Tamandua tetradactyla: one gene and its partner. The protein of the gene in region 1 binds, or shares a complex with, the protein of each later gene. Links are inferred from orthologs where the notes say so. Each region holds a gene or a part of one and is shown in the gene's direction. Other genes may lie near its edges.

Evidence for each region. Proteins that work in one complex are often made in the same cells at the same time.
Region 2: mitochondrial import inner membrane translocase subunit Tim23 (region 1) and TIMM17B share a complex: the UniProt entries of both Homo sapiens proteins name them as parts of the TIM23 complex. The link is inferred for Tamandua tetradactyla from reciprocal best matches to the Homo sapiens genes TIMM23 and TIMM17B.

The regions. Positions count from the first base shown.
Region 1 is NC_135339.1:5,644,800-5,648,547, reverse strand, and holds the start of mitochondrial import inner membrane translocase subunit Tim23, read left to right. Parts: upstream 1-1,278; 5' UTR 1,279-1,420; coding exon 1,421-1,526; intron 1,527-1,617; exon of another isoform or gene 1,618-3,630; coding exon of another isoform or gene 3,631-3,748. Other genes in the region: PARG (poly(ADP-ribose) glycohydrolase), read right to left, coding at 732-951. UniProt on the Homo sapiens protein: Essential component of the TIM23 complex, a complex that mediates the translocation of transit peptide-containing proteins across the mitochondrial inner membrane.
Region 2 is NC_135353.1:121,257,722-121,261,469, forward strand, and holds the start of TIMM17B (mitochondrial import inner membrane translocase subunit Tim17-B), read left to right. Parts: upstream 1-1,474; 5' UTR 1,475-1,583; coding exon 1,584-1,609; intron 1,610-1,714; exon of another isoform or gene 1,715-1,829; intron 1,830-2,504; coding exon 2,505-2,604; intron 2,605-3,748. Other genes in the region: PQBP1 (polyglutamine-binding protein 1), read right to left, coding at 779-861, 994-1,097. UniProt on the Homo sapiens protein: Essential component of the TIM23 complex, a complex that mediates the translocation of transit peptide-containing proteins across the mitochondrial inner membrane.

The DNA.
Region 1 (3,748 bases):
CCCAAATCTACACTTCTGGCACAGAGCCCCATATCCACATTTCCCATTCTTTTCTAAAACCATCCACTATTTGGATATCCAAGTCTAAGCACTATTATCTACTACCTAGACTAATTCTTAACTAATCTTGGGTCTCATCCACCTCTGCCTCCTTCCAATGTTTTACGTTTTCCACACACCAGCCACAGGGAGTTTTCACACACACACACACACACACACACACACACCTGATCAGTCACTCCCCTACCCACTAGAGGGTTCTCCTTACCCTTAGGAATAAAGTTCAAAAGCCTCAGCACAAATTGCATGACCAGTTATGACCTGACCCTTGCCTACCTCTCTGCAGTTATTAGTCTCTTCTATACACCAGCCGCACTCCTGGAATACTTCTCTATCTTCTCTTCACTCAGTCAACTCCTACTCATTCTTCAGGCCTCAAATAAGCATCCCATTTTGGGTCCCACAGTCTAAGCTAGGTGGTACTTCTGACTTCCACTGTTAAACTCTGTCCTTCACTTATGACAACATCCATTACCCCTTATTATATTGACTTTATAACTGTTTATGTTCCCTGATAGATTTTTGAAGGCAGAAGCCAGGAAGTTCAGCAAGAGAACCACAGAATGGTTCGCACAAGGCCAGAAAGGAATGATGGGGGTCCCCGGGTCCTAAGAGACCGGGAAGAGATTCGAGTCCGGGAGACAGACAAAGACTTTTATGCTCCCACGTACCAAGAGAGGTGGTGCTGCCTCTGTGCGGTCCCGCCCGCCCCGGGACGCAGCCTGGAGAGGACGGTGGGACCCTGAACTGCACGGGAGCGTCCTTGAGGTCGAGGACGCGCTTCTGCCTGCCGGGGAAGCCGCGGGTGTCCGAGGCGGCCGGCGGAGAAGTTGCAGCGGCGCCCCAACGGGGTCGCTTGGTGCACGGCTCACAGCCAGGGCCCGCATTCATGCTGGGACCCACGGCGCACAGTTCCCGGGCCGACCCCGGCGGAGAGTTTCATTCACTAACCCTGAGAGGGACGGACTGCGCCTCCTTATCGGCGCTTCCCCACAACATTCCCTCTCCGCCGCTGCCGGCTTCTGCAGTTGCTGCTCCGCGGGCCTCCCAAGCCGGCCCCTATCCAGGGGCCTGTCTTCCCTCTTCTACAGGGACCCCCACCTGCCTCAGGATGCGCCGCTTTGACTCTGGCTTCGTTCACTTTCCCACCACCGGAAGGTTGCCGTCAGGTACTTCCGGCTTCCGGGGCGTACGCTGTCGCAAAGCGGAAGTGTGGCGAGTTTAGCGAGCGCTGCCGTCCGGAAGGTCAGCGTGTGAAGGAGGCGGTGGCAACGCGGGTCTCCCCGCGGTTAGTGAGGTGCAACGGCCGAGCGGACGACCCCGGCTTGAGGCATCGGCTGGAAGCAGGCGCAGGCACACCATGGAGGGCGGCGGGGGAAGTGGAAACAAAACTACGGGGGGCTTGGCCGGCTTTTTCGGAGCCGGCGGAGCGGGTTACTCGCACGCGGATTTGGCCGGCGTTCCTTGTAAGTATCGGGCCTAGCCTGCGACTATTTCTGATTCTGATTCATTTTGCGACTACACGACCTTGTGGTATTCCTTATTCTTTTTATTATTTTTTTTGCGGGCATTCACAAGTTTCAGTTCCAGGAGGGGTTAGAGTGTCTTTTGAGGATTGAAAGGATTTGGGGGCCCGTGAATCCCGGAGAGGCTCTCTGAGGTTGACCTGAACTCTGATGCTGCTTGTATTCTCCATTTTGTATCCAAAGTGGTGCTTTTTCTTTCTTCGGATACGTTGCCTGTGTGTTTGGCCCTTATATTAAGAGGGAGCCCAGCTCTGTGAGTAAATATATTCCATATAGCGAGTCTTTAGATAGCTTATTAACAGCCACGTATTCGACATCAATATCCATTTCCCTACCTAGCCGTGAAGGCAAAACGTTGAATAATTGTGTCCATTTAAGAGGTAAACATATATGAGTTGAGCCAAGCCAGGAAACCATATGAAGGAACTGGGAAGTGAGCTGAACTTTAAAGGTGACTTACAGACATGAAGAGAGAAGCCAAGTGGGGATTCTAGGTGGAGAAATATGCAAGATGCAGAGTGCAGAGACGTGGAAACCCTATCCCTGCCCTGCCCTCAATCCTAGGAATATGCATTTCAGGTGTTTGAAACTTGTTAGTCGTAGATATTCAACTGTATAAATTAGAAGTTGGACATAAAAATAATAGAAAGTTGGTGGTGGATAAGCCCTTTGCCAAAGTATTTTCTCTTTGGAGAATCCCTGGACATGTTTCTGTAGGACTTTCACACTCAAGGACAAAAAGTGCCCTTTTATATACATAGTGTCACCAGTATCAGAACTGGGTCCAGAACACAAATTATACTATATGTAATGACTTAGGCACTCTGAATTTCAGAACACAAAGGGAACTTCCTTAATGTGATGAAATATTGTTAAATTGATTTGATTAGGTTAAAGATTTGAAGATTAAATTGAGGCACTGTAAGGTGAACAGTGTTAATTAAGTACCTCCTACAGTGTGCCAGCTGCTTTTCAGGGTGAGGGGCTACAGCAGTTTAAAAAAAAATTTCTCCATTTGTGGCTCCTGCATCCTCCTGAGGTGAGCCAGTTAACACATAAAAGCATTTTGGATAATGACAAGTGCTGTAAAGGAAATAAAACAGGATCATGAGATGGTCATGGGACAGGGGTAATTTGGAGCAGGTGGTCAAGGGAAGCCACTCAGTGGAGATGACATTTGAGCTGTGACCAGACAGAGAAGTTGGCTAGTATGCGTGCCATTAGACAAAACAGTCATGTTTGAGAAACAACTGACTGTTAAGCCAGTGTGTCTGCAGAGTTGCAAGGGGGTTGAAATGGTAGGAGTTAATAGGTCAGAGAGGCTGGGAATCACAGCTAAGGTAAGTTTTGTAAACCATCCTGAGGAATTTGGGATTTGATCAACTATAGAGAAAAACCATTAGAAAGCTTTAAGTAAGGGAGTGATGTGATTGAATTTCCTTTAAAAATCACTGATTGGTATATAGAAAGTAACCAAAGGGGCAGGAGGAAGCAAGAATTCCAGTTAGGTAGGAGTCTGTGGCTATAGTCAAGGTGAGACTTGATGTTGGACTAGGGTAGTAGCAATGGAGATAGTGATAAATAACAGTTTAAGATCTATATTGAAAATAGAACAGGACTTGGAATTGATTAAAAAGACAACAGTCATGGGTAATGTAGACATTTGTGAGCAATCACTTGAGATATGGAGGTAGTCAGAAGTTAAATTTTTAATGAAAGAAAGATGATTTTCCTAGATATAGTTTTCTCTCTTTAAAGTTAGTGAAATTCATTTCTGCATCTCTGAAGGTTTGTATTTTCTTTGGTCACTACCCATCCCCATGGTGATGACCAAAGAATTCTCTTCCCTGCCGTGGTAACTCAAGACAGCAACTGTCAGCTCTAAGATCTGAAGAAACTGCCTTAAACACACGTTTTTTTCCCCCATGAAATTTGTCTTCTCTTGGTCTTATTTTGCAATTTGTGTAGTTACCAAGCATTATTTCAGCAAAGTAGAAAGTAGTTAGTTCTATAATTGACATAGGCTGTGTTTCCTGTTAGTTTGATGATTAAACCTATATTATGGCCCATATTTTCTTGGTGTGAGAATCTGCACCACCAGTGCAAGACCAAGTTGGGGCTGAGAGCCCCAGGAGGAGACACGCCCCCAGCCTGCCAGATAG
Region 2 (3,748 bases), on another chromosome or scaffold:
ATGTATGTCATCAGCACAGGAGCTGGCACTCAGAAAGGCTTAAAAGTAAGATCCATGACCATTATCTGTATTAGTAACTATCAAGTCTGCCTGGCACGCTGCAAGCTTGTAACAGGCAGCTGAAATCAATAAAGGTGAACAATAAGATGTATTTTTTCAGTGCCTGACATACTGTAGCCCAAAGTAAATGCCAACCTTTAGCATAAACAATAAAGTGTAAATATTAGCAGCAGCACAGAAGGCCTAAATAATAGCTCCTCACTGTCATTATTTTATACTCTCAACCCTAATGTGTTTGCCAGCAGGCACTTAGTAGGCCCAAAATACATGTCAGTTCTCAATGAGGTGAATAAAGTATATACATCACCAGCAGAGTGCCTTCCCCTACAGCAGGCCTGAAATACTATCTATCAGTCTGGTAAACAACAAAGTATCAAGGTCAACGCCCTGCTGTGCCTGGCATACAGAAGCCTGCACTAGATGTCAGCCGTCCTTGTTATTAGACAGTACTTACCACCCTATGGAACCTGGCATATAGCAGGCACTAGAGAGCTATCAGCTGTCAGAACTGTTAAGGATTGCAACATCTATCTGCCCCAGTGCTCGGCAAACATAGGAATGGATGTCAGGAATCCATGTTAATGAGATGCCCCAGCTCCTGGCTCCTAGCTGCTTAGCGCACAGAAGTCCCAAGCTTGGTGTTAAGTGTCAAGCCTCAACAACAAAGTGCTTGTCAAACCCGGCACAAAGAAAGCCCATTTGCGCTTAGCTCTCTTACCCGGCTCCAGATGTTTGAGAATGCCTCTCTTGGCCAGGCGGGTCTGCAGCGCCACGGGTAGCGGCATGGCAAGTAGCACAGACCTAGGGACGACCAACAGACTGAAAACCAGCTCGATGATTCCGGATCCTGTAACCAAGCGCCTCCCTCCAGCATGGACTCATCTTGATCCCTACCTCCCGACTGGCACCAGAAACTGGGCGGGCGGAACCTACGCGCCAAAAGATGGAGGAGATAGGTGGCCACGGTCAGCCAAGCGGACACCAGCACTCCTCTCGTGGCCGGGATTGCCATCGGGTCCTCCACCCCACCCCCGCATTCCTCTCGCAGGCTTTGCCCACCACCGAAGCAACCGGCGCAGTTTCCCCGCGCTGGAGAAATGGGCTCACCCAATATCCCTCAAAGCTTGCCAGGTGGGAGGAACCAAAGTGCTGGAACGGGGGAGCAGAATGCAGCACCTCCTCCGGCTCCAAAAGAATGCGTCCACCCCAGCGTTGCCGATACAGCCTCGGGGCTAGTGGAAGGCTGTCAGACAGGCTGCCTCTCTCTCCTCGTCGCCAGGATCACCGACACCACACTGCTCTCCCCTCAAAGCACAGAATGAAAGCCTTTCTCCCTGAACCTCGAGGTAACTGGGCGACGCTCGGAGGCGGGATGAACCCACGACACAAACCTGGCAGCCAATGAGCGCTCCCTGGGCCTGACGTCGAGGGAAGTGACCCGACCCTTGTCCGAGAATAGGTGAAGAGCTCGGACTCCTGTGTGCGTTGCCACTGGGGGCGTGGCCCGGCCGGACGCCGGCGCCATGGAGGAGTACGCTCGTGAGCCCTGGTACGGCGGTGGGCACAGGCCGCGGGATCGTTGTGGCGGCGCCCTGGCCGGCCGTGGGGGGCGGGCGGGGAAGACACCAGCCGCAAGGCGCCGCGTCCCAGATTCGGGAGCGTCTTGCAAAACTTACTTCCTTTCGCTCGCCCCACCACCCACCATCACCACCTGGGTGCCTCCCACCCAGGCTCGGTTAAGACGAGGCCCACTAACGGCGCTCCTGGAGGTGCGGCACTGGGCGAACCACTCCACCTCACCTCTGACTTTGTATCTCCCAGCCCTTCCTTGTTAACGACAAAGAGACACGCTGGTCGAATCCATTCCGGCAAGGGGTGGGGGGTTACGATGTTGAGCGGCGATCCCTAGGATTACCACGCGTGGTTTTTCCCAGGTCGCTTTGTTAATGGAGGGTGGGGCCTGGGTGATCATATTGTGGGCAAAGAGGGGAATGCTGGATCCTCCCCAGCGTCTGCTCTCGGTTTTTCCCACCGGTGCTCGGTTAAAAGGGAGGGCCGGACTTGATTGGCTGTAGCCATTGTTGGAGAAGGGGTTGCAACCCCATTCTGCTTTAATAACTTATGTGGTGGTTAGGTAAAAGTGCTGTCTCTTTGCTAGTGTCAGCTCATCTAATCTTTGACAGCCATTCCCCAGTTGGCTGCGAAGGGCACGGGTCAGCAGGGCAAAGACTGCTACCCCCCCCCCACCTCTGCCTTATATCTCGCTTTAATGAGAGAAAAAGTGACAGAACTAGCTCACTATTATATGAAGTACTTCTTCCCGCTCATGAAGTTCCCATCCGGGTGCCTTGGTTCCTCCGATTTGGAAAGAGTTCGTCCATGTGACAGCGCACAGTGTAGGGTTCACCTTAATCCCTTCCCCTCCCCCCCCCTCCCGCTTGCAGCCCGTGGCGGATTGTGGATGATTGCGGCGGAGCCTTCACCATGGGTGTCATAGGCGGCGGAGTCTTCCAAGCCATCAAGGGCTTCCGCAATGCCCCCGTGGTGAGTCCTGGCCTTCTCCGGGTGGTGTGAGGGTTGGCTGCCCTATTCACAAGTGATACTATCCTGCAAACCTCTTAGAGCTGCCAGTCACATGCACTTATTCATTCTGTTGTGTGCTCATCAATTCTTGCTCCCGGATCTGGGGTCTTAGGGGGAATTGCAAACATGGCCCCTGCCCCCTCTCCAACTGGGACTCCTTCCTGGACATGCCATGCTGTCAAAACAGTCATCAACAAATCCTAAATGTGCCTGCACAGACAGACATATCTTATCTCCTACAGGCAGATTTCAGGTCTGAAATCTGCATAAAGGGAGGTGATAGGAGTTTGTCAGAGAGAGGGCAGCTTTAAAGTTGTAAAAAAATAATCCTTTTATAACAATCCTGTTTTCTTTCTCTGCCCATGCCCTTTCAGAAGCAGCTCTCATCAATTGTCATGACTTTAAATGCCATCAGTTTGCCCAGGTCTCTGATTTTCCTTTTTTCCTTTTTGCATGGGCAGGCATCGGGAATCAAACCTGGGTCTCTGGAATGGCAGGCAAGAACTCTGCCACTGTGCCACCATCACCCACCCTCTGTGATTTTTATAACTAGCCTTGTTTCTCCCGTCAACTCCAGATCCATATATCCAAATATCTACTTTACATCTAAACTCAAGAGGTCAAAATCAGAGCTCCTGCTTCTTTCCCAGAACTAATCTCATCAGTCTACCTCATCTCAGTATTCCCTCTTCCTTATAGTCTTTTAGTCCAATAACCTTCAGCCATTCTTGGCTCTTCTTTTTCCTTCACACCCCATCTTGCATCTGATGTATCAGCAAAACCTGTGTACTCAGCATCCAAGCACATATATCCCCAAGTCAACAACTCACCACTTGTACTGCCACTATCCTTGCCTGTACTGCCACTATCCTTGCCTGAGTCCCCCTGATTGCTGTAGTCTCCTCACTCATTTCCTTGTTTCTTCCTCTACCCCCTTGGAGACTCTTCTCAACACATCAGCCACGGGGGCCTTTAAAAAGGCAAATCCAATCCTTGTTCCTCCTTATAATTCAATAGCTTTCTGTTACACTTAAAATAAAACCCAAACTTCTTACCCTGCCTTACACAGTCTAACTGCCTACTTCCTATCTTCTACCACTCTTCT